Linked DNA regions of Oreochromis niloticus. The protein of the gene in region 1 interacts with the protein of each later gene in a biochemical or structural test. Links are inferred from orthologs where the notes say so. Each region holds a gene or a part of one and is shown on either strand. Other genes may lie near its edges.

Region 1 (7,455 bases):
GGATAAGGGTCAGGAATATTGACTAGTTATAAAATTATAATTTTTGTGCACAAGGTAGATAACAAAACCAGCAGCATTTATCGCCTCAACTAATTTGCCCTGGACAGGCCTTTAAAATACAAACTCATCACACGGCTGAAAGGCAGCACATGCAAATATTAAGTGACCCACTAAATTTCTTGGACTTTGTAGCATCTGGTGTGACCCAGAGCCGTATCCCAGCTGGGAGACAGGAGTAATTTTCCTTTTGTGGGCATGACAGAGGTGGTCAAAAGATGTCACGAAGGTACTGTGGATTGTTTGTAATCCATGTGTCTTGTACAGGATGTTCACACAACAAGCCTACACTACTTAAACATCCTGTCTCCAAGACATTTACACATGCTGGAGAGTAAACTGTTTAAGGATATTTCCTCACACCGAAACAATTTCAGGAGCCGTCTCAGCGGGTGAGTCCACTCCTTCGTGTCCAGGACACTGAAACGCTTTTCAAACATGCAACATTTTACAATGACGTCATTCTGCCGTTCAGACTGTAGGTCACGTCCACGTTAACGTTCCCCACCACAGCTTCATTCAGAGAAACATACAAAAGGGATGGGCACAGAGCCATAGTAGGCATGTGATTTTTACAGCATGTCCTAGATTAATACAATGAAGATTTCTACAACTTGCAGTACCAGTTATATTCTGATAGCTGCTTAGCTGCTGCTAAAAATATAAAACTGAGATGCTGTGTAAACACAGGTACACAGTATCATTCTGTGTTAGAGCCTGATTGATCCAGTCTGTCTTGTGCCACATGAGTTAATGTTTTTAGCTCTCCTCTGAGAGGCTCATGGGTAGATCCTGTAGCGGTTTGATGCTGCAGGAACGTAATAGACGCAAAGGAAAAGACACGGCTGGAGGCAACAATCTGGCTTCAGCTTCCGTCAAACTTCTTTCAAACCCAGATTAAAGCTGTTACCGATAAGCCCCATTAATGTGACCCATAATAAACTCAATGTGATGAGGGAGGTATGTAATAGACATTTCAGTCTGTAGCTGGTGTGAAATAGTAAGCACAGCAATTATTAATTTTTGTACATGAGATTACCAAAGACTACATAGTTGAGTTCAGAAAGCAAAATGAAAGCAAGTATGACAGGGAGTGATTTATTCATGAGCTGCACACTCGGATAGGCTGAGGCTGAAATGGAACAAACTGACAGGTGTTACAACCGAGAGCTGTCCAAACCTGACAGAGATAAATTTGGGACTTTTTAAGCAGATCCAGATAAAGACACTGAAATGAACCCATAACTGGAACTGGTATTTTTCCATTGTATTGTACACCAGGATGTGTTGCATAAGTCAGTGCTAAAAATGAACACATTACTGATGCTTGTTGCACTTTTGATTCCCTACTGCAGAGAACTTCAAGTCAGTATCACCACTGGATTTGAATTCTTCTCTCAAAAAGGAGAACTTTCAACACATAAGAAGGCATGCACAGAAGATGTTGGTCCTCTTTGAATCTAACTTTGTATGTAAACAGACCTTCTCATTAAGAAAGTTAATCATATCCCACCTCAGTGCTGACACTGAACCGGACTTTAACACACTTGTTAAGGGCCAAAACAGACTAGATTTCATTCGGTGAGTAAGGAAAGAAAGGCAAAACTGCAGATGAAGCAATTTAGACTACAAGTAAAATACCATAGCATGGAAATTTTGCATAAGGATGCACACTGTTTTAACAATCTTTGGGGAAATGTTCATTAAATAGAAATGGTAAAATATTGGCGCTTTAACTTAATCTATTTCACATTTTCATTGCCTAACATCTAATGTGATTCAATGTTGCTGTTGAAAGTCCTGAACCTTTGGCCTTCTGCATTTTAGTGTACCTCAGAACATAAAACAGTATATGATTAGTATGGTATTGCTGTCCACCTTTCATCTTATGTTGCTAGAGTTATAAGGGTTTGAAACTTTTGCTACTTGTCTATGTATAATTTGTGGTATCTGTTGCACAGTTTGCAAAACTTATTTTGTTGCCATTATATAAAGATGAGCGTGATAAATAAATACCATGAAATGATATACAGAATAACATAAACTTCCTACAACACAAATGGGCAAAATTGACATTCCCTGACATCCTTTATTTGTGATGAACACATAAATACATAAAAAAGTTGACAATGCTGATGCTCAAGTGTATTTATGGCTTTATGTCACAGTAAACCAGACTGACTCAAAACTTCACCAAATGCCAACATAATACTGGTGGGTTTTAAAACATGGACCCATTCTTATCTTCTAGATCTTCCCAAACTAATGGGGTTTAACATAATTTAGTAATATGTGCATCATGTTTTAATTTCGTGTGGCTCTATTTACTTTATCCACGTCAGCATGCCTCCCTTAGAGAAAGTGCAGCCCATCCCTGCACAGGACTTGTACCAAAGACCTCTAGCACAGCCTTTAAAATATATTTCACAATAAAGCTCGTTGTCACCTTCTTGTCTGTCACTGTCCAGTGGCCGTCTTCACTTTGTTTGAAAGTGCAGTGCAGTCTGGAGATCATCAGGGGACAGGCTGGAGACAGTAGTTGGTAAGTTACATCCACACCACGTCCAATGGTGATCTGCACAGCCAAAAATAAACACGTTAGTTAGCTCCACTCTGCATCTCTCCAGTTCTATAAAAAACGGACAGGGACACTCTTCAGCTTAAAACAATTCTAAATTATTAACCATAAATTGAGGGTAATGTTCCCCCTACATGTAAACTGGAATCTGCCGTGAACCTGAGCAAGCTTCATGTTAGTATAAATATAGCACGTTAGCTAACATTAGCAAGCTGCACCTCTGTGTTTTCGAACAAGCGAAGCCAGTCAGAGTTTCTCCCGACTCTCATCAGACAAAAAACCTCCGAGTCCGGACATTCATCGTCTTCAACCGCACAGCAATCCGCTGCCGTCTCTTTATCCATCTTATCTCATTCTATCAGCGGCCAAGTCGTCCGAAAGGACACCACTAACTGCGTTGTTTCAGCTCCTCCGCCACATCCCGACATACTGGGAGAAACCGGAAGACATTTCATTTTCTTTCAAAATAAAGGCCACAGATGTGCTTCAACGCTTATCTTTGGACAGCCCATGAATCACTTGGATCCCTCTAAAATCATTTAGTTTTTTTATTAATTCAAAATTTATTCAGCTTTTGCAGACCCAAAGTAGAAATATTACGGTGTCCATGAACATATTACAGTAGGGACAAAACAAGACGTAGAGTTTTATGTTTCGTCACTCATTCAAGTAACTTCTTCAGTTCACACAATGCATTATGCGAATATACTGTTTATAGAGTTGCTAATAAGGTCTGGAATTTAATTGCCTGCATGACTGAGCAACCATCAAGACAAATAAATAAATGAAATAACACTTTTAAATTTTACCCTGAACCAGCTGCTTAAAGTAAATACACCCATTTAGTTATATTAACACTGAAATACTCTTTTTTTTTTTTTACCCTCTCCACTTCATTTTCACCTCAGGAAAAAAAAACAAATCTTTTACAATTGAAGGTCAAGAATTATAATAATTTATAATTATAATAAAAAGTAATCATGTGGACCCTGTTAGTGTTGTAATAACACATGTTTAACTTCAAACCTTTTAATTATTCCTACATATAATAAGTTTGTGTTTGTTAGTTTGCATTTTGTATTGCCTCAAGACACCGTAGACGTCTATAATTTCTTTTGTTTTATCTCTTTTGGTAAGCACATTGAGTATAAGTGTAAGGAATGGTGCTATATAAATAAAACTGACACTGACACTGATATTACACAGTCACAGTCATATTGTATTTTATTATAAATATTATTTGTTTTTTCGTTAGAGCTTGTGTTTACTGTTATTTACCATTCAAAAGCAGTGTAGTGAAAGATACTTATACCTAAAAAAAAAAAAGAAGAAAAAAGTGGAGAATACAACAACAACAACAAAAACCCAAACAGCCAAACATGAACATTGTTACTTTGCAGTATTTTAACCGTAGTACTGCTTCATAACTGTTGCTGGTGTATACAGTTGTTAAAAATCCCTGCACCTTTAAATAAAATAGCTCTTCTTTCTCCCCGCAGCTCTCAAACCTCTAACGCGCCGCGGTGCTCTTCGTCCATTCGGGCGACCCCGAGTCCCGAAACGCGCGCACCCCGAGCTCCAGGCGGGACTTCCTTTCTCCTGCGGATGCGCTGATATTAGGGTGAGCAGGCAGAAAGGGCTTGGTCGGGGTGTCACCGGTCTATCCGCGCGCCTCTGCACAGCAGATGACCTGGCCGACGACTCCGCTGCCGCTGAAGCCCCGTAGATGAATCTCCTCCTCGGCTATGCTGCCCTGAGAGCGCCGCGAGTATCCGCCCCGCCAACATGTCTGATGTCAACAAGACTATTCAGAAATGGCACGCCAGTTTTAAGAAAGGCACAGACTTTGACTCGTGGGGACAATTAGTGGAGGCTATAGATGAGTACCAAATGTAAGTTGCATTCAACATGTGTGTCCTGTGTGTCCACAGCGCTGGTTTAACCCGAACGCAGTCCGGGCGCTGTGCTTCTTCTTTTTTTTATTCTTTTCCTTTCTCTGGGTCGCCTGTCCCTAAAATCTGCAGGGAAACATGTAGGAGACAGTAGGTGCAAGAAGTTAGCCCGTGTGCTGTCAGTCAGCTCTCGGAGCAGTAAATAAACCCTACCCATCCATGACGTGATGTGGCAGTTGTTGCAGTGGGGAGCAGATGTGTTGCCTGATGCATCCTAGCTCCGTCCACAGCAGCACTTTGGAGTTTAAGGGAGAGTCCGTCCATGTAGCCTGTCATGGAAAATCGGTCGGAGCTGCGAGCAGTCTGTTTCATTATGTGTCATGCAATGCAGAAACGGGCCAGTATTCCTCAGAGTGTTGGGAAACAGTCAGCCACACCCTCTCATTGTTATGGGTGGGTTTCATCTGCTGAGTGAGGAATGGTTTCTGCTTCTCAGACCAGATCTTTGTCTTTGCAATTTCCTTAAAATGTGCCCAGCTTCTCTCCCAGTTAATAGTTTATTTAAAACTGCACTAACAATACAAAAATCCAGATCCATGCAGCAGCTTCTACTGTCCGCAGGGGGGCGCACAGACACACACCTTACCTTATAGGAGTCTTGCAGGGTCTTGCAGTGAATCATTAACGCGTCTGTGTTTCATGTGGGTTCGTGTAGTTTGGCAAGACAACTGCAAAAAGAAGTCCAGTCAACAAATTCATCAGACTTCACCGAAGAGCAGAAGGTAATCATTACATCCGCCTGCAGCTTCTGCACCGGAGTGTCTGTCACTTTACTTAAACTAACAAGTGTTTTTTTTTTTCTTTTAAAGAAAACTCTGGCAAAGATTGCAACATGTCTGGAGATGAGAAGTGCCAGTTTGCAGGTTTGTATAGGAGTCTGCATGATTAGTAGCTACAGAAAGGAGGCAATGTCCAGGTTTTCAGAGATGCTGAGGTCATCATTATTATATAAAAGTAAAATTTGAGCATCAGCAGTTTTACTTATGCATATAACGCTTTTGAAAGTGGTCTTGAGCAATAGTTCTCCAGGCTTTCTGAAGGTCTTTCAAAGTTTGTCTTTGGACATTGGCCAATGGTCCTTGTACCTGACCATTTCCAAAGGGAAGTTTTTCCTTGTTAAGTCACTTAACACTAACCTGTGACTCATTCAAGCATAAAAAGGCACCTAATTCAAGGGACAAAACGGTCTTGTATTTACACATATCAGGCAACTTAGCAAAGAAACAATTTAAAATGTTATCTTTAGACACTTTGAGTTTTAAAAGGCATAAAATTGTGTTTGTTGGACTGATTCCCAAAGAGCTATTAACTGAAAAAGTGTCCTTAAAAAATAAAATATGGAAAAGTGTCAAGTATAGAAGAAAAGAAGAAGTGGCAGGCCTGAAATACAAAACAGTGCTTCAAAGCCTTAAGAAACAGGAAAAAATCCAGCAAAAACCTGACACAGGACCTGAGAGATCCATCTGACCCTTCAGCTGAGCCTTGTACTGTTCAACAAAGCTTCATCAGAAATGGTCTCAGTGGAAGGGTGGCTGTCAGGAAGGCGTTCTTAAGGAAAGGAAACGGGGAGAAAAGGCGAAGGGATGCCAACTTAAACAAGAACTGGACTGAAAATCAGTGCCAAAAGGTCTTATGGAGTGATGAATCCAAGTTTGACATTTTTGGTTCAAATCGTCATCGGTAAGTATAGAAGGGGTCAGGAGAGAGGTGTAGCGGTGGGTGTCTACACCCATCTGTAAAACCTTGTAATGATTTGGGGCTGCGTTTCTGCCAGTGTGTGTTAGGGATCTTGTTAAAATCGATGGAATAAGAACACAGAAAAGTACAATCAGATTCTGGTCCGTCCAGAAAGTGTTTGATAATGGCTTTATGTTTCTGCCCAAACACACTGCCAATGCAGGAAAAGTATTCCTGAATACAGAAACACACAAAGAGTCACCGTCAGTCATGGATTGACCTCCCCTGAGCCTGAAGCTCAACATTAATGTGAGATAAGTGTGAGATCGTCTCACATTGAACAGAAGACGACCAACTTCCAAGAAAGAGCTGTAAATGTCATTCAAGAAGCCTGGAGAGCTATTTCTGAAGACTGCCTAAAGAAACCATAAGAAAGTGATCATAAATCTTGACTTTCAAGCTCGTTAGAGTTGTTTTTGCCTTGTATGCTGTATGTTTAAACATTTTTCTCTTTCCCATTATGAATAAATTAGGGATGGCTCGAGACTTTTGCACAGTGCTATAAAAAAAATACATTCACTTCCTGGGGAAAAACAAATACTGAACATATCCTTTGTCTGGGTTTCTTCAGTGCACTCAGTCAAAGGAAGAGTTCAAGTTAGAAGACCTGAAGAAACTGGAAACCAGTAAGTGTATGACTGGGGTTTTTCCTGGCTCGAAATGGGCCTCTAAGGGGCGACTGCAGAAAAACATGATTGGTGTGTGTATAGTAAAGATGTTGAAACTGTGTGGCCTTATTTGACAGAACTCTACATGCATTCCTGTCATTTCTGGGCATTTTGCAAACAAATGTTTATTACACTTTAGTAAATGAAAGACTTTAAAATGTTGATCTGGCGATTTATTTTTTTTTTCCTTTTGCTCTGGCCTGTGGAAAAAATTTCTCTGTGAAGGAAAAACACTGATGAACAATTTACTGGATATTCTGACATGTTTGAATAGTGATATAATCAACTCTACTCCTTTTTCTTCAACAGTAATTAAAAATGTACTCACCTACAACAAAGAGTTTCCATTCGATGTTCAGCCGGTGCCGTTAAGGTAAAAATCCATCACTGGTGTTATTACTGCTTTGGGCTCATGCTTCCTGTGTCATTGTGTCTCAACATTACTGGATTTACAGATTTTTAT
Region 2 (8,098 bases), on another chromosome or scaffold:
AATATATGGCAGATTAATTGGTACAGCGCACGAAGCTGAAACAATTAGCTGACCGGCAGAAAAATATTCAGCAGCCACTCTGATAAATTGCGGTCTGTTTTTTTCCGCTGCTGGTGTTTCATGAAAATTTGACTTCATACTTAGGATCAAAACATGCAATCCATGTACAAGAGTGAAGCGGTTAAATGTGCATAAAACAGGGCAAGCTGATACAAGAAATAGCTCGGCAGACCGCAGCTCACAGTATGTTACGTTCACCTTCTGTGGCTTGAATTTGATACCTTGATCAGAAGTCACTCACTGAAGACATGTGTTGCCGCGTTAACACTGAAGCTTGAAATATATCTGCGCTTTGACAGCTGTTTGGAAATGGTCACGAGAGCTGAAGCACATGGGCCTATACTGCTGATTTTTAATGAGTGATTCAGAGTAAAATCCATCTTATGACCAGCGTCTTAACATCCGGGCCGATGAGAACATCGCTCAGAACTCTTCAATCCAATGTTTGGCTGCTCGGGGAGGAGGGTATTCGTAGGGGGGAGGGGGGCTGATAAGTTGGCATTAAACACACAGCCTGACAGGAACTCAGCGGACTGTAAATGATGAACCACTTACAGGAGCGGTGGCTGCGCTTACGTGAAACTACTGGTATTCATAAGTATGATCCTAAAGACAAACCCACAAAAAGGGAAATGAAGGGAGCCATTTTCCTCAAAAAAAGAAAGAAAAAAAAAAAAAGGCCACATGCCTGAAGCGGAAGGCGAAGAAATGTAATCTTTCATTTCACCTCCTGTGATCTCAGATAAGTCATCATGGTCAGACTTCAGAGATAAGTTTTAAAGGAAAAAAATATCAGCCCTTCAGGCAAGACTGCAACGAACGGCTGACTCTTAAAATGTCTCTGCTCGCTAGAAACTGTTGAAAGATTTCAGTCATTGCAGAGACACCGATATCAACAGGACTGTCTGTAATAGCAACATTATAACGGCTTTTTAGTGCAATTTGTTTATTAAACAGAAATTATTTATACCTTTCTGTAAATACTTGGTTACTTACAAAGTTTTAGCTCTGGAAAAGAAAAAAAAATTCCCAATGGGAAATTTGTTGTTTGCGTTTTCTGGTAATGTTCTGTTTTTCAAATGGAAAATGAGCCACTAAGTGCAGGGTTTTGGTCACAAAACATACTTTTTTTTGTTTGTTTGCAAAAATTCAGCAATTAAAAATGTAAAATACTGATTTATCAGTCAATATTATCTATATATACACACACCAGGGTAAAGTTTAAGTGAAAGAAAGATTAAGTAATAGAACACAGGAGCGATCTTGAAATGTCAGCTGTGCTAAAAACAGTCAAAAGGAGCAAAAGAAGAGGCTCTAGACCAGTTACAAGCATTTTTGTCTGTATTGCTAATTAAAGATTATTCATTAACACATAGATACGGACACAAACGCGACTGGTTAATATCAGCAGACCGATTCATCAGCTGGTCTCCACAACACACAGCTGAGTTGGTGACTGTTGGTCTATCATGTCATGTTGGTGCAAAGGCCACAGAATAAAGGATCGGCTCAGTAATGAGTGTGTTCGCCACATTCATCACTGTGTACAAACTGAATGCTAATTTTGTTGCCGCTCTTCTCTTGTTTGTGGTTGCCCTCACCCGTCTGACAAGTATTATCAGTTGCAGTGACGGTTAAAGGTATTGCTGCAACTCAAATTAAGAACTCGGCTGGAAGAAATCTAAACAGCTCCCCACATGTGTGTCTGTGTCTTTGATGGGGCAACTTAAATCTTAAGCTAGGTTAAAAATGAATCGGCAGGTCGCGCCAACTTCTCAGTTTCGATTACGAACTTACTTCCTACGTTCTCTACTTCGCTCCCTTTTGCCGTTTCGTCTCCGTTACGGTTGCTTAAGATCTGCACAAAAATAAAAGCTGTTTGCTGCGACTTGCTTTTATTATTTTGTTTTGTAGTTCAGGGCGTTTATTTTGCAAGTTTGAAAAGCCACGCTTCCTGTTGGAGCGCTGAAGGCAAGCACGGGCCCCGACTACTTGCTGAAACAAAGCGTGCCCACTACAGCGGTTGTAGTTAATCGAGCTGGTGCTCGTCTATCTTCCCCGCCCTACAACTGCAAATACCCACCTCGTGTAAATACAATACATTTTTTTTACCTAATGGAAAATGGGTTAAACAAAGGCGTTAAGCGTGTCACAACAATAGCGAGCAGCGTGCTAATAAAAGCAGAGGCGGAACTGCTCCCCACATTAAAACATTTCCGATACCATTATGTGTACGGCCGTATGCGGTGTTTCATGGAGAAGCTATACAAAATTTCTCATAATGCATGTTTAACTCTTAGGTTATTGTGCTTTTGTGGCTATTTAATCACATAAAATACGCGTTTACGACGTTCATATGTGATAAGAATATTCCGATCAAGCTAGCTGGACAAAATGGGAGTGAGTGCCGCGCGGTGCTGGAATATTCTAGTCGCTAAGTTAGCTAATGCCATCTATGGTTGTTTGCAACACCCATATTAACAGAAACTTACACACCAAATTAAAATTTTATACTGGATTTTTATAGCTAACGTTTGTTTCACATGCACGGTGTCCGTGTGGGCCACAGTGAAGGCCACCTTAAGCTATTTCAGCTAACTCACGGGGCCAGCTAGTCACTCCTTTGCTATATAGCTAGGCTAGGTTAGCCAACACAGCAGTTCCGTGACATAGATGGCTCCCGTGAGGCTCACTGCTTCATCGACTGCAGTAGATTACAAATCAAAGCGATTTCATAAACATCTCTCCTAAGTAAAAAGTCTCCGTGTCGTGACTGAAATAACAGCGAGGCCTCGACTTGTGCCGCACATCACGTCGCTGTATATGTTAGTTTGAAGACACACAAACCTGAGGAGGCCGCCATCTTCTTCAGCCGAGTCCAGAAGCACACAGATGTGTGACATCACGGCGGTTAAAAATCGGGCGAGCAGCATCACACCGGCGGAGAGCGGCATTACACGCTGCTGACGGGCTGCTCGCACCTGTCCACTCTCACTCTCATTCCATTCTTTCATGTTTCATATCGTCAAACTAATTTCAGTGTTAGACAAACGTAAACACAGCAAATAAAAGTAGTTTTTAAATGACGATTCCATTCATTAAGGATACAAAGTTACTCAAACCTGCCTGGACTTAATCCTGATAACTGGTTGTGGCACCCTTGGCAGTAAGAACTGCAACCAAGCATTTGTGGTTACTGGTAATGAGTCTTTGACATTGCTGTGGAGGAATTTTGGCCCACTATTCTTTGCAGAATAGTTTTAATTTAGCCATACTGTAAGGTTTTCGAGTATAACATCATGCCAAATCTGGACTTGGTCACTCCAAAACCTTCATTCAGATCTTCACTTCGGATCATCATCCTGCTGTCAGTTATTTGATTGTATCATCAGAAGACGCCTACATTTATTTGTTAACCTGCTTCATGTGGTTCAGATTCTGTGCTCTTACAGTAGGCCTTTAACTTGCTTGGTACCATCCTTGGCAAACTGGGGCTGAGGAGCATTAACGAGTCCCAGGAAAGCCTTAAGACCATGCCTGGGTCATGTCTGAACCCCTGGACACAATTTGATGACTGAATTGATGGTCAGGCTTTTATTCTCGCTTAAATGCAAGAATAAATAATAAAAATTACAAATGCATTCTTGTGAAACAATTTTACAGACATCAGTTTGGGAGAGGCCACTCGCGGTTCAGTTCCCAGTTCTCCTGCATGTGCCTTGGCAATCAGTCTGCTATGTTAAAGGATGTCTTAGTTCCTAAAAAGGATGGTCCTCTCTTCTCTGCTCTATCGGCTGGGTCGAGGAGCTTTAACAAGGGTTGCACCATCATTTGTGGAAGTGTTTTTACATTCAGCATATCAAACAGGGGGACAGCTGGAGTTTGCAAACCGAAGCAGTGGGAGGACTCACGAGACAACACGCAGACATACAATCATTTACAAAGTCGATTTAGAATCACGAGTTAACCTAACTGGTCACAGTCCAAACTCCATGTGTTTGGACTGTGAGAGGAAGCCATGTAGGAATGGGGATCATGGAAACTCCACACAAAGCGGCCCCAGCCAGCCAATGGATTCAAACCCAGGGCCCCTTTGTTATGAGGCAGCAGTGCTAACCACTGCACCACCATGCTGAAATGAAAGTTAAGACTAAGTCAGTGCAGCTTTTTAAAGGAGCAGCAACACACTGAGAGGAACTACCTGATCCTCCTTCACAGGATGTACCACCATCTTCTCACACCAGGTTTCACGACATGCAGTTTTGTCAGCTGCTGCTTGTATTTGTCTTTTGGTATCACTTGCATGGAGCCTCAGCTGCAGGTGGATGTGTGCTTAGTTATGTTTTCTCCTCCAAGGTTAGTGTTAGGTACTTCTTTTTGGTTAGGATTAGAGCCTTAACAACTTCACTAACAGATTTAATATAAATACGTGCAGGCTGTATTAGTTTTCTATCATACCCCCATACTTTGGACATTATGACTGACAAAAACTATCATTTTTTTCAGGTAAATTTCAGCCTGGTGACAGCTGACAGCTTGGCAGGTTAGGATTTTGCACACGTCACACATCACCGTTCAAAATTAAGCAAGCATCTCCTAAATTGTCGGGCTTTTGACGTTCTTAGACAAAACCTCGTCTGCTGATTTGTACCGAGTTCAGTTACATTTAAAACAGGATGAGAAGGGTCAGATATTTCACAAAATAAAAGGTTTGTTTTATTTTTGAAACTTTGAACACACTTTTGTGGATAATACAGGTGTCCATTCCAGTTCCAGAATTTATGCAGGTTGCACTGTAAGAAGGAAAGACACAGTTAAGCTATGAAGAGCAGATATCTGAGAGATTCGAGACACATCTGGCTTTACTGCATCTCCTCAGTGGTCAGGTTATTGGATAATTTAAGCTTACAGATCTGGATTAAAAGTTTTTCTCCCTCCAATATCCTATCCATTTATTTGACTAATGTCAGACCTGATAAAATTGGACTACAATAAAAATACAATAGCAAAAAACATACTTTACACATGTATAATCAGGCCAGTAAATTGACGGCAGAGATAAACTGATAGAGGACGTGCAGCAGAAGCATTTGGGAATCAGATGAAGTGTGTTCACAGATAAGACAAAATGGTGGATGTAGCTGGTCAAGTCACTGACTCTCATCGCTGACTCTGATTGCTGCCATGTAGCTGTAGTTGCTATAGCAACGCATCATTCTGGCTCCAGCTGCAGGTGTACAATCTCCGGGGTCTCCGCTGTAATCTGAGATAAAGCCACATAAAAGAGCCGCTCGGCACGTCCGTTTAAGCATGATTTTATGCGACAGCAGGCTCTCACGCTCATGTTTTACCACTTCAAACCCCGCACCCCCCTGCTGAACTGCTGAGCAGGTCAAACCAACGTTTTTTTTTTATTCATGGCTCCGATTGCTTCACACTTGTGATGACAGATATTGAGCTAAACCGGTGTGAGCGAAGGACTGCACCAAAGTGCCAGGGAGCACAAAAGCAGCAGTGCACTGCACACTGGGACAGATCGTCAAGTCTGACTACGTTTATTCTGACTAAGTTTGGGTCAAGATAAATGGAAAAATGGTTGGTTGGTTCTAGTTTTCACGATATGGCACAATGCTACCAAGACCAAAAGTTCTTAACCGAAAGCAGAGATGACTATCATACATTTTGACCTTTGAACTTTGGCAAAAATGACCTAAAATAGCCACTCTTTCTGAACAAGCCATCTAGTTTTGATTAAATTGGACTCTTCTGAATGATCAAAGTATGAAAGTCAAATTAAAATGAAATTATGATTTTGACCTTTTGACCTCAATTCTGACCTTGGACCTTGACCTTCTATGTCTGGGAAACTCTGAAATGCTCGGAGAGTATATTTTTGAAATGTTTTTAAAGCATATTCAATTATTCATGCACCAGTGAAATGCATTTAACATTTGCATTTCCTCTGCTGGAGCCCTACATTGTTAAATGATAAAACAGGTTTGGTAGTGGAGACATTCATAGACAAGTAGACACATGATGAAACCAACGTGTCTACATGTCATTATTTAATGGTTCATAATAAGTCTTTCTGTATAGACTTTTATCACTTGTTACATAATGGAGGAAAACTGCATTACAGTGTAAATTGGCCACACACTGATGAGAACTGAGCATCAGAATAAGGAAGAGAGATGCCTCAAGTGACTTGTAATGTTGTGTGGTTGTTAATACTGTTTCAAAAACTGCTGATTACTAGAATTTTCCCATACAGCCATCTGTAGAGCGTACAGAGAATGGTCCAGAAGAGAAAATATGCAGTTCTCTGGGTAAAAATACCTCGTTGATGCCAGAGGAGACAGCTTTCAGCTAACAGGAAGGCAACAAGAACTTAAATGATCACTCCTTACAACTGAGGTATGCAGAAGAGCATCTCCAGACCCATGGGCTATAGCAGAAGACCACATCAGGTACAATAAATAAAGAAAATTGGAAAAACATCTAATAAGTCAGTTTCTGTCGTGTCACTTGGATGATAGGGTCAGTATCAGTGTAAACACGAAAGCTTGGATCCACCCTGCCTCGTTTCAATGATTGATCACTGGCTCACCTGCACGTCAGAAGCATCCTTGGCCAGGATACTGGAAACTGGAACAAATACCAGTCCATCTACTACCAAAATTCACCCAGTAAAGTCAGCAGTAGGCTCTTCTGCATATATGAAACAGGTAGCAAACAACTGAACATAGAGAGACTGGTGAAATATGCAGGTCAGAAGTAAGAAACCTTTGCAAGCATTTTAAGTGAACATTTTATTTATTCTCTATAAACAAATAGTCAACATGAGCTACTCAATCCAAAAGAAAAAACACAAAGCAAGCTTGAACTTATTTTAACAGTTTCCAAAAGACAAAGTCTGTGATTATAATGTACAAGTTATCCAAAGAGCTTTTTAATCACAGCACAAAACAACAAGTTAACAAAGAAAATAAGTACTTTCAAATATGAGCTCTTTAAGTCAACACTGGATGCAGTTTTTACACGTTCCTATAAAAACTGCAACAGGAAACCAGCGTTTAATGAGTCATGGGGTCCTTCTGAATCACCAATCGGGGGTCTAATACACCCAGATATTCAGCACATGCTGGTTCAGTTATACAAATACGTTTTTTTACAGCACGAGTAAAGAAGTCGACATGGGATAGGAGTTAAAATTAAGGACTGTACATAATTGCAGGGTGTGCCTTAAGCAAGGAGACGAACAGTCTTTCCAGTGACTGTCAAGTAATCCTCGTCAGCCAGAGCTCGCAACGCCTCGTCGAACAGCTCCTTAGTAATCGCCTGCAAACGGGGCAAGAGAGGAGGAAGTCATTAGAGAGGAAGTGATGAAAGAGTGCAGCAAATACTCAAAGAGTGCAAACGTGTCGACGGCTACTCTGGCTGAATTTTGTGATATTTCAGAGGATACAGACAGAAATGTTAGAGCTTGGCTTTTGCTCAGTCTAATGAGGAACAAGTGCCACGCTACGGTCATAGCAATCGCCATCTGAAGAGCTGAAATCAAACTGATATTTGAGCTTTGACTTCATGCTGGCTTAATAAAAATAAAGATTTAAAAACACTCACAGTTTCAGACTGTCCTCTGAGGTCATCGAGCAGCTGCTGGTATTTCATGGCTGGCGTCTTCCCTTTGGCCTGGATCAGCTTCTTCAGGGCCTGGGCTACCTCCTCCTTGCGCTTGCGTGCTGTGGCGCTCATGCCTGTAATCGAGCAAAGAACAATGCATTGAAATGCAACTGCAGGACTGAACCTAAAGATTATTTGCATTATTAATCTGGGGTTCAAAAGTTGTCCTATAAAGAGGCCAGAAAAGCCCAAGTAGCATCTTTACAATGGAGAAAATGGAACTAGTGTTTCAAAGCAAGGCCATTGTAAAATGAGCCTGACACCTCATAAAGTGCATCTTTAATTTTTCATGTCAGCACCTTTAGAAATACTTTCATTGTCTTCCGTACCTGTTGTCAGAATAGAGATGTCTACA

What was found. The genes of interacting proteins can lie anywhere in the genome.
Region 2: the proteins of rnf8 (region 1) and ube2v2 form a complex in vitro, tested with the Homo sapiens proteins (2 studies listed by BioGRID). The link is inferred for Oreochromis niloticus from reciprocal best matches to the Homo sapiens genes RNF8 and UBE2V2.

Annotation. Positions count from the first base shown.
Region 1 is NC_031980.2:14,133,457-14,140,911, reverse strand, and holds the start of rnf8 (E3 ubiquitin-protein ligase rnf8), read right to left. Parts: upstream 3,089-7,455; 5' UTR 2,980-3,088; coding exon 2,839-2,979; intron 2,633-2,838; coding exon 2,504-2,632; intron 1-2,503. Other genes in the region: aida (axin interactor, dorsalization-associated protein), read left to right, coding at 4,421-4,527, 5,243-5,309, 5,397-5,450, 6,896-6,950, 7,302-7,365. UniProt on the Homo sapiens protein: E3 ubiquitin-protein ligase that plays a key role in DNA damage signaling via 2 distinct roles: by mediating the 'Lys-63'-linked ubiquitination of histones H2A and H2AX and promoting the recruitment of DNA repair proteins at double-strand breaks (DSBs) sites, and by catalyzing 'Lys-48'-linked ubiquitination to remove target proteins from DNA damage sites.
Region 2 is NC_031982.2:18,523,962-18,532,059, reverse strand, and holds the start of ube2v2 (ubiquitin-conjugating enzyme E2 variant 2), read right to left. Parts: upstream 3,062-8,098; 5' UTR 2,924-3,061; coding exon 2,908-2,923; intron 1-2,907. Other genes in the region: DNA replication licensing factor MCM4, read right to left, coding at 7,303-7,398, 7,684-7,817, 8,073-8,098. UniProt on the Homo sapiens protein: Has no ubiquitin ligase activity on its own. The UBE2V2/UBE2N heterodimer catalyzes the synthesis of non-canonical poly-ubiquitin chains that are linked through 'Lys-63'. This type of poly-ubiquitination does not lead to protein degradation by the proteasome.